Callithrix jacchus: one gene and its partners. The protein of the gene in region 1 purifies or fractionates together with the protein of each later gene. This does not show direct contact. Links are inferred from orthologs where the notes say so. Each region holds a gene or a part of one and is shown on either strand. Other genes may lie near its edges. The genes, in order: RAPGEF2, BTRC and MAGI1.

Region 1 (4,361 bases):
TACTTCTAGGCAACTGATTGACCTAAATACAAACCTATGTTTTCACGGAGCTTGGGAAATGAATGAGGCTGGCAAGACTTTAAAAAATAAATAGAATTGAACAGCAGGAAAAATAAGTTACATATTTTCCAATTCTTTTCTTTTAAAGCACTTCCCTTTTGCCTATAAGGAGAATCACACAAACTCCTTTATCAAGCCTATCCTCAGAAACAGAAGGAAGCACAACAGCAAAACTTTCCTAATTCCTGTCCTTCTGTTCACGATATCAAGCTTATTTAACATTGCTTTTCTTATATTGTGAAATTCTAACTCACAAACATTTATAAGACAAGACTATGGAAATTTTTCCAGCATTCCATTCACAAAGCATTCTTAATATAAAAAGCACCTTCTACAAAAGCTTTTTTAAAAATAACTTCTGAGTACATTTTAAATTTTTAGACAATCACCTCTGGCCAGTCAAGCAAACTTTTGTAAACAAATAAACATGGGGGTTTGCTCTAGCAACAACCAAATGAACATCAAAGTCAATAGGGCTGACACTTAGGAATGTCTGAAATGTTTGGTAGGTTTCCTGATGTTTGGTTTTTCTAGGAAGATTTGGTGGGGCAAATGTGCCGCTTTCTGACTATCAATGGAGCTCTCATGTTGTGGGGTTAGTAATAGCTGGCCCACTTACTTCTGACTCAGGCAAGATTCTGTGTTGGGTCAGCTTTTACCCTATTCTACACAACTGGCAGGGGAACAATAAAGTTTAACAGTTCATTTATTTGGCACAGTCACCCTGCAGTCACAGTGGAGGTTTTGCCTCTTCTAGTCTTGTTTGGTGACCCACCCTCCCAACCTGATAGCAGGTTTTAGTCATTGTTATTCTTCTAACTAATCAACCAAATGCACAACTTCCCCCCTCTCTAATTTCCACCAAAGGCCTCTGACATCATTTTCGGACCAGCCTTGCTAGGTTCTAACATTCTCAGCATGCGTAATTTCACTTGGCACTTAATATTCTTGAAAGACAAGGAAATATTTCACTGAAATCTGCTTTTCCTTCACATTGAGACAAGGAATGTGCATTTTCAGATACAGAAGACTAATTCAACTGACAATTTTAAATAGATGAGAAAGACACAGGAGAGGCCGTGCGTGCAACACCAAGGGCAAGATCAAAGCAGGACATTCCTTGTTGGAATAAAAATAGTCTTTTAGAATGGGAACTTTCTGGAGACACTGAAACAAATTTTCTTGTAAAACTACCGCCATCTTCCACACGTTTGATAAACATGTGCAATCTATCCATGATCTCCCAGATGTGACAGCTCCATCAGGGAAAATGAAAAATCAAAAAATGGTACCAGGTGCCATTCTTGGGGCTTGTCCAAAGGCAGCCAGGGGAAGACTCTATTTTATTATGCTCTCCCCACACTAAATAATAATCAACATCAGAGAACGAGAGCATTTGGATTTGAACAGATGGCATCCAACACCTAACAAGGGAAGCAACACTTTCAAGCATTAGATCCTAAATGTTTTGATGGTCCCAAGAATCAGGAGGGCTTATTTGTCTTAAAAGGGTTGGCAGGCAGGATCTCCTGTAGTCACCATCCCAATGCTTAGGAACATGCGTCATCATCGGGTCAGCAACTAAAAGTAGAGAAAATTAAGCCACCATATTTTCATAAAATTTCGCCCACTCTAGTAAAACTTGAGACAACCAAATCCAACCCTATTGGCCGCTAAAAATAAGAAAAGAATAAGCCTGAAGGTAAACAAATGTATAAAGGTTAACAAACTTATCTAATTTTGACAGGGCTGTGCAACACCAAAAGAATCCGCAGGGTGCCCTTCCCGGGGGTGTATTTGAACATGCCTGCTCTGCAGCTAGGTCTGCAATTTAAAAGCACTAGCCTAGCTATTCAACTTTGCTTCCCTTCAATTGAAAGCAGCATCCTTCCAAAAAAAGAAAAGAAAAAAAATGCAAAATAGTAAACATACAAACACCTCAATGTTTTCCTTTAGAAAGTCAAAATGGATTTGTCTTTAGCACAACCGTACAAGTTTCCTACTGTACCTTTCAAACACTACGAAACTCCTAAGGTAGAAGGGCCACTTGCAAGGGGAGGAACGGACCTGCAGTCACGGGGGGCAAGAGTCGCTGGCCGAGGGGAGATGAGACCTCATCCCCTGAGATTCAGAGGCCCCCAAGGGCGGCCGGGGAGAGGGAAAGCTAGAGAATTCACACACACACACACTCACTCTGCTGGACAACATGGGGGGGGGGGTCAGTCATGGGAAGAGGAGCGTTGAGGAGAACGTCAAGGAGAGGGAAATCTAAAACCAGCATAAGGCGGAGTGAAAGACTCGGAGGTGGGATGCCTTTGGAATTGAGAGTCCTGATACTACTAGAAGTGGGGTGCTCGGGGCGAACTATGTCAGGAAGAGGGTGGGGGAACAGGAGCAGACGCAGCCTGCGAGGCAGAAATCCGGTCAAGTGCAGACGGCCCCGGCGTTCTCACCTGGGGGGTCCTCTCGGGGGGATTCTTCATTACCGCCTGGCGGAAGCTGTTATCCACGTAGGACGCCATCTCCCCCCTGCGGCTCGGGTCGTGCAGCTGGGCACCCTGGCCGGCCTCCTCCCGGCCCAGCGCCGCGGCTGCCTCCGCCCTGAGCGCTGCGCCCGCCCGCCCGCGGCTAATCAGCCAAACCGCGGCGGCGGCGGCGGCGCGGGGCCCGCGGGGGGGGCGGCTCGAATGGGCCCGGCGGCCCGGAGCGCAGTACAGGCGCGAGGGGCGCTGGGCGCAGCCGGGAGGGTCGCGGCGCGCGTAGGCTGCCGTACCCTGCGCCCAGCAGGCGGAACTCTCCTTCCTCCTCCTCTTCCTCGCCGCTCCGCAGGCTCCGTCCGGCCCTGGCTAGACACGCCTCCCTGGCTCCACTCGGGGGACAGTGGCAGCTCCTCCTGGCCCCAGCGGGCCCGAGTTATTTTTAGGGAGGTACGAGTGGCAGTGGGGAGGGCAGCGGGCAGGCAGAACCTCCTCCCCCTCGGCGCTGAGAGTCGCCCCCTCCTCTCAGAGGCTCGCGCCGCCACCCAGGGGTCTCCGGGAAGCACTCCGATCTCCCGCGTCCCCAGTCCTTGGGCGCTCAGGCGCCGCGGCCGCTGGTCGGGAGGACGGACCGGGTGGGTCTGGCACCGGTCTGGGCGCTGCGAAGCCCGATCACCTCGGCCGCCGTCGCCACCGCTCCTGGTCTCAGTCTACTGGGCTCGGCCGTCCCTCCTGACTGCTGCTGCATCCCCTCGGGCCGCCCTGCCGCCGCCGCCGCCGCTGCCTCTGCTGCTCGGGCCGCCGCTGTAGGCTCCGCCGCCGCTGCCGCCGCCTCCCCCCATCAGCGCTCCCGGAGCGGAGTTGCCCCGGCGCCGGCGCCGCCGCGGCCAGAGCACCCCGCCCGGGCTGCAGCCCTCCGGCCCAGTCGCTCTCGGCAACTTTGTTCCTCGTCTGTGCGGGACGCAGAAGGGGAAAGAGGGGGCCGCAGGCAGCCCAGTTTCGGGCGGCCGACGCCGAGAGCCGAGCGCAGCAGACAGCCCCCTCGGAGAGAGTGTTTGGGAAGCGGAGATTCCCCTCCTCTTCCTCCGCCTCTTCCTCCTCCTGCGCCTTCTCCGGTCGCCCCAGCCGCTCCTCAGGGAGGAAGCGGCCTCCGGGCCTTGTTGCTTTGTGCTGAAACCATGGTGAGGAGTGAGTGACAGCTCAGGGGCCAGTCGGCGGCCGCCGCATCATCGGGGGGCGGGCAGCTCCCTTGCGCTGGGTCCCGCCTCTCCGCTCCCAGCCCGCCCGCGGGCCGCGCCCTCGCGTGTGAGCCGCACTTTCGGCGGCGCCCAGGTGAGCAGCGCTCGGGCTGCAAGGGGGTCGCGGAGCCGTCGGCCGGGCTGGTGGGTCCCTCACGCGGCCTGAACCCTAGGATGGGGCGCAAGTCCCGGTGCCCCGGCGAGAAGCGCAGGGCTTTTCTCTCGCAGTGTTCCCCACTGTCTCACGCTGCGACCCCTCCCCACACCCGACGCTGGCTCCTAGGAGACCCAGCCGCGTCGGGTCGCCGCTCCCCGCCCGCTCCTGGCGCCAAGCCGCCGCCTGGGGGCTGAAAGCTAACCCCGGGCAGAAGACCGGCCCGCCAGCCCGAGCCATACGGGGCATTCTTTTTGAGTCCAGGAGTTGGCCCGGAGTTGCTTCTGTGGCGTTAAATCCTCTTAGGGTTTATTTTGCTTGTTTGTAATTTGCTGCACCCTCCCCTGCTTTCCAAGCCCACTTTGGCACCTCAGACATTAAAATGACCACGAAATTAGGGAGAGAGGTTTCAACACCAGACCCACTACCACC
Region 2 (3,651 bases), on another chromosome or scaffold:
ACTTGGAATGGTAAACATTTAACTTCAGAGTATCGAACAATGCAGTTAACTGCTTTTTTTCCTAGGTTTATTTTTTTTTAAAGTTACTTTTGATGCATTATGTTTGCTAAATACTTCAGCTTAAGGCAAAATTCCTAACAGAAGTTCCCAGCAGTGCTGCTGGTACCCAGAACTCAAGCTATCCTGGACTCCAGCAGTATAATGGCTGTGTCATCAAATCACTAACGCCTCTGGAAATTGAGGGCCCCTCCCTGAGTGAAGCTCGCAATTAAAAACTGCAGGGACGGCAGGGGAGGAGCTGACAAAGAGCACAGCTCACCTGTACATGTTTCAAAGGAGATAATACAGACCTGCACTACAGTTACAACCACCTAAAAGGACGGCTTCATTACATTCATGTCATTCCCCTGTGAGGTGGTTTTTATAATGCAAGCCTTACCATAAGGATAAGAAAAGTTTCTGTGATAGATGATTCTCCAAATTAAAATAGAATGTGTAGTTTCTTAAACGTGCGAAAATGTTAACTTACCTCAAGCATTCCTAAATCAAGTTTTCTAGTTCTAGACTGACACAAATGATGGGGACTCGGTGGTATATTCTTCTTTAGTTTCAGAACTGTGCCGATATATACAAAATTACTATCTATGACAAAGAACAGAGCAGAGCTGATGTTTCAAAGTTCAAAAGAGCATTTGAAATTTTCTACCTGACTGTGGAATCCGATGATCCGGTTATGATCACTCTTTCATCATACTGGAGACACAGGACAGAACCTGTATGGCCTGTGAGAATTCGCTTGCATTCCAATGTGTTTTTATCCCAGATCTAGGATGGCAAATAAGATCCTTTTGATCAATGTCATGATGGGGTGCTGTGGAGACTTGTTGGTCCTATTATGTATTTGATCTCCCAAAATAATCAAAGCCCATAGTAGTGTGGAATGCATTCTTTCCTATAAGTATAGCTAAGCGCGCGCGCATGCGCGCACACACACACATACATACATACATATACGGCTTCAGTACTAATACAAACCTTTATCCTTTTAATTAGAGAACAGAGTAGCCTATAATTATGTGAGGGCCAAAAGAGTAATAGCCCATTCAGTTCATTTCAAGAAGAGAATTTAACCCTAGAGACTTCCTATTTGTATAGTATTCTAGGGGGAAGCAGATGTCTGTCCTTTAAGGAAATGATTTTGGCTTTGGGACTGGAAACAATCTAAAATCTTCACTTACTTTCTAGAAATAATGCTTAGAGTTTATGCTGTGGACTGTGTTATGAATGTGGTCACCCTTGCTCCCTCAGCTACCTTCCTACAACTGAACAGACCTCACCTTGATTGTGTTGTCTCGAAGGCCGCTTACTATTTTCTGATCATCATACTGTAAACAGTAAACTCCTTTGCTTGTTTCACTTCGGCAGTGGATTCTCTGTAAACTATGTCTTCCACATCTCCAATTAGATTCTATTGTCTGAGAAGACAGAAAGGTAAAGAGGCAGTAATTAGGAAACGCCTAAAACCAAACCCTTTTTGGGCTTTAATGGCAATCAATGACTTAATGCTTTACTCTGTGGGAGATACATCGCTTAGGGAAAACTAAAAAATATCTATTAAAAAAGCTACTATCTAAATTTATAAAGTATTTTTCCTTTTGCAAGGTAATTAAAGATTTTTTCTAGAACCCCCTCCTGCATATCATTTGTTCAATTAAATAATAAATCTGGTGGGAAGAGATGACTCATCAAGAGAAGAAAAGCTATGAACTATGTGAGGTTATATGTTCAGTGCTCTTACATATGCGATGGCCATCACTACCGATGAACTTCTATGGCGGCTGAATTCAGAAGATATTTAAATATGAGCTTATGGGTACTAGTTTCCCAGTCACACTGCTATTATATGAAGGGATCAATCTCTTTAATTCTCTTTCATCTATTAGTAAACAATTTTTTAAAGCTTTAAAATTTTGCCTAGCAATTTATTTTACCTACCCTACTTAACTATAAAGAAATTGATTTTCTTTTTCTTTCTGTTTTTTTCTGAGACAAAGTCTCACTCTGTCATTCAAGCTGAAGTGCAGTGGCAGGATCTTGGCTCACTGCAACATCTGCCTCCCAGGTTCAATCAATTCTCCTACCTCAGCCTTCTGAGTAGCTGGGGTTACAGATGTGTGCCACCATGCCTGGCTAGTTTTTGTATTTTTAGTAGAGATGGCGTCTCATCATGTTAGCCTGGCTGGTCTCGAACTCCTGACTTTAGGTGATCCACCTGCCTTGACCTCCCAAAGTGCCGGGATTACAGGCGTGAGCCACCACGCCAGCCAAGAGGTTGATTTTCAACTCACGTCAATAAACCTTAATGGGCTTGGTGTAACCATACTGCAACTGAAGAAAGATGTACCATTTGGAAAATACCCCAAAATACACAGATTCTTACCTCAATGTCTTGTATAATTTTAGGATAAAGTGCTCTATAAAAAGAGTTGGGAGGAGTATTCCCATCAGGAGGTTTGTTTTTGAATAAATACTGTCCCCTAAAAAAAAAAAAAAAAAATATTTCCCAATGAAAATCATGACATTAAATATTTACTTATTTATTTATTTTTTGAGACAGAGTCTTGCTCTGTTGCCCAGGCTGCAGTGCAGCAGTGTGATGTTGACTCACTGCAACCTCCACCTCCTGGGTTCAAGCAATTCTCCTGCCTCAGCCTCCTGGTAGCTGCAATTACAGGCGTTTACTACCAAGCCCGGCTAATTTTTGTATTTCAGTAGAGATGGGGTTTCACCACGTTGGTCAGGCTGGTCTTAAACTCCAGGCCTCAAATGATCCGCCCGCTTGGCCTCCCAAAGTGCTGGGATTACAGGCATGAGCTACCATGCCCAGCCAACATATATGTAAGGAGCTTCATACATTTTCAAAGTGTTTTCACAGTTACCATCCTATATACTCTCCAAAGCTGCCTGGGGAGGTCCAAAAGTAATCTTGATTTCAGCCTTCTGGTATCTAAGGAATCTGCCTAACATTGATTTGCTTTTGGGTAAAACATTATTTCCAGTGTAGAACATTGGAGTACCAAACCTTTAGGAATATTATGAGTAGACAAATGGAATATGTATAATCAGAATTCATCTACTGGTCTATTAAGACTACTGCATAGATTCACTGGCCTCATCTTTTGGAAATTTTGTTGGTAATGGTAACTATTACCTTTGAACTAGCACATACCCCATAGTCTTTTTTTTTAACTATGTCAGTGGACCCCTGCATTGCAGACAACAGTAATGCCTGTAATGGAGATCACTTCTTCTAGGTCTTTATTTGTGTGGGGTAAGATGTGGTGGCTGCTCAGTCACCCAGGCTGCTGCTGATCAGTGCAACTATTCTTTGAAATGAGCAATTCAGTTCATTTCAACAGAAAGCAAAAGGATCACAGGTGTGTCCAGTGGCAGCTAGGGAAGAAGATAAATAGAAATGCCTAAGAGCACTGTGCTATCAAGTCTAAGGCATGAAACTGACTTTCACAGGTGTGTTCCTGGCTGTGTACATACATACATGTACTTAACTGCCTTCCCTGATTCCAGTGAGCAGCATTTGTTAGTATCTCCTTCCTTATGACAGCACATCTCTGGAATACTCATATCCCAAGC
Region 3 (2,597 bases), on another chromosome or scaffold:
CCCCAATTTGGCAAAGGGCAACCATGGGCTTATACTAAAAAGGGGGCCATGCTTTCCAAATTGGAGATCTTATGTCTTCCTCACACCCAGCATGCTGTCCCCATTCCATCTACTATTCAGCCTCCAATCAGACAACAGGGAAGATGCTTGTTGTCTATTCCTTGTAGTAACTGAGCAAAGCTGTGATGGCACTGCCTTAAATGAGATTTTATTAGATATTGGAGATGTTCATGAACCTGACTGTCTGTGCTTGTGCTATATTGGGTAAAGGTAGCCGACCTTTTTGTCTCTGTGCCTTCCTGGGCCAGGGAGAGTACAAACTGTTTTCTGAACCAACTATAACTCACAATATAAAACATCTTTGTGCTGCGCAGTTTAGCTATAAATATCCTTCATTTGCAATAGTAGTCTTGTCATACAGTTTGCTTAATTTTAGGATCATCGGCAAACTGAATCCATCCCAAAGGGTCCTCAGCTTTTACAAATAAAACTTTGCCTTTTTGCTATCTGCTTTTAAGAAAAACTCCTGACTACAGTATAGCACTACATCACTACATAACACTCTATATCAAATTAATTAAACTTAACCAATAAATTCCCTTACTTAGAGAAAATGATCAACAGCCCCATTTAACCAGGAGAGAAAAAGATTGCCCAAAAACGGGAACAATTCATGACGATTCTACAGGTTACGTAGAAACAAAATTTATATCCCTTTGGGCCAGCATTTGGCAAATAATTTCCAAAAAAGTATGCATTTAAAAATACTTTCTTTAATATGATACATCAGGCACAATACTTTTCATATATTTTTTTTTCTTATAAGATTTCAAATGCATAAAATGTTTGTTATTCATAGGATCATCAGGTGTCAGATGCTTCATTAGGTAAGAAACTAAATAATTTCAGGTTTGTGACCTTCCTCTTAGAACCTTTGACACGGTAAAGGTTGGAATGTGACTCAGCATCTCAGATACTGAGGTCGGTGCTACATTCTTTGTAAGGTCGCCGTCTCTGCTCCGGGGGATGTCTGGAACTTCTGCCAGCATCCTGTTTCAGATTCACCTCTTCTCTTTCTCGGTGGCTGGCTCTGTCCTCTCTGTTCCTTTTGTCCAGGGACCGCTCTCTCCTGCGCTCGGGGGAGCGCGCGCGCCTCCGGTCGGTGGACTTGGCCCTGCGCTCGGGCGAGCCTCCTCTCCTGCGCTCGGGGGACCTCCTCTGTTCCAGGAGTCTCTCCAGAGACCGTCTCCGCCGGCTGGGGGAGCCGTCTCTCCGGCGGGTGGGTGACCGCTCTCGCCTCCGCTCGGGAGAGACGTCTCGTCTCTTGTCGTGCTTCTCCCTCCTCTCCAAAGTGTTGTCGGCGCTGCGGGTGCCCTCCCTCCGCTTCTCCGGGGACCGCCTCTTGGGGCCGTTGGCGGCCGCGGCGCGCTCGGCCTGCGCGTCCCTCAGTCCCTCCGGCGCCCGGTCCTTGGGTCGGCATGCCCCGCTGTCGGGTTTCCTCGAAGTCCCATTCCAGGTGTGGTGTTCATTGGGTTGTCTGCTATACTCCCTGCTGCCTTTCGGATCCCTCGCGTGTGCCCGCTTTTCCCCATGTGGTGATGATTTGTGAAGATCGGGTAGGTAACTGGACTCCAATGACGGATGCTGCCGGCGGTCGGGCCCGGCCCTCACTTCCGGAACACCTTGTGGACCGGTGGCGGGGCCGTGGCGGTCGCTGCTGGGGTCTGCCAGGAAAATAAAGGAGAGCAACAGTTGGGTAGGAAGGTCCCTCGGCTCCTGTCCCCGCTCCCACCCACACTCGAGACCTCATTAGTCACAACAAGCAAACAACTGTTAAAGCAGTCAGACTCAAAGCCAACTGAATCTTGTTAATTTTAGGACAACTGCATGTAGTTAGGGTTGAAAACTAGTGCTTGTGGCTTTCAGAGTCAAGCTGGCTGACTGTTCTCCATACCCGAGGCATAGAACAGACAAAAGTCAGTCATGATTTGAGTCTTTTAAAGGCACAATCCAAATAGTCTGTCTAGAGGCATCAACATTTCCTCTCTGTAGCTATCCCTTCTTCTTCCTTTCCCACCTCCCAGCCCTTCTCCCCCGCATCCACCCCTCTCCCACCCCCCAAGAAAATATTCTTTGCTTTAAAGAACACTTGCTTTGATTTATCTAAAAAATATTTTAGGGTATTGATCTGGAGGGGCACCTGGGAAGCTTTCTGGAGGAGGGTGGGCATCATCTATATCTTATCTGGGTGGAGATTAAATGGGCACATATAGAAGTAAAAAATCTACAGCACTGTATACTCAGGATTTATGCATTTTACCTTATGGTTAAGTATACTTCTATTTTAAAAAAACAATCCAGGGTAGCAGGCAAAGGGGATTACAGAGGCAACACACTGGCCAGATGTTGATGACTGGCAAATGGGATAGTTTGCAAGGGCCCATTCAACTGTTCTATTTGCATTATTCAACTACTTTCTCTACTTTTGCGTACATTAAAAAATAAGGAACTGTTTTTGAAAAATAAATAAGGAACTTTTAAAAATGTGTTTTCTGGTAGATAAAAGGGAGGGGAAGAGAGGCTGTTAGGTACACATT

The links.
Region 2: the proteins of RAPGEF2 (region 1) and BTRC purify together in Homo sapiens (affinity purification with western blotting; 3 studies listed by BioGRID, with this or other methods). This does not show direct contact. The link is inferred for Callithrix jacchus from reciprocal best matches to the Homo sapiens genes RAPGEF2 and BTRC.
Region 3: the proteins of RAPGEF2 (region 1) and MAGI1 purify together in Homo sapiens (co-immunoprecipitation; 3 studies listed by BioGRID and IntAct, with this or other methods). This does not show direct contact. The link is inferred for Callithrix jacchus from reciprocal best matches to the Homo sapiens genes RAPGEF2 and MAGI1.

What each region holds. Positions count from the first base shown.
Region 1 is NC_133504.1:37,237,732-37,242,092, forward strand, and holds the start of RAPGEF2 (rap guanine nucleotide exchange factor 2), read right to left. Parts: upstream 2,857-4,361; 5' UTR 2,583-2,856; coding exon 2,514-2,582; intron 1-2,513. UniProt on the Homo sapiens protein: Functions as a guanine nucleotide exchange factor (GEF), which activates Rap and Ras family of small GTPases by exchanging bound GDP for free GTP in a cAMP-dependent manner.
Region 2 is NC_133513.1:94,483,325-94,486,975, reverse strand, and holds part of BTRC (F-box/WD repeat-containing protein 1A), read right to left. Parts: intron 2,538-3,651; coding exon 2,441-2,537; intron 1,476-2,440; coding exon 1,338-1,475; intron 826-1,337; coding exon 707-825; intron 1-706. UniProt on the Homo sapiens protein: Substrate recognition component of a SCF (SKP1-CUL1-F-box protein) E3 ubiquitin-protein ligase complex which mediates the ubiquitination and subsequent proteasomal degradation of target proteins. Recognizes and binds to phosphorylated target proteins.
Region 3 is NC_133516.1:47,144,071-47,146,667, forward strand, and holds part of MAGI1 (membrane-associated guanylate kinase, WW and PDZ domain-containing protein 1), read right to left. Parts: intron 1,725-2,597; coding exon 970-1,724; 3' UTR 1-969. UniProt on the Homo sapiens protein: Plays a role in coupling actin fibers to cell junctions in endothelial cells, via its interaction with AMOTL2 and CDH5. May regulate acid-induced ASIC3 currents by modulating its expression at the cell surface.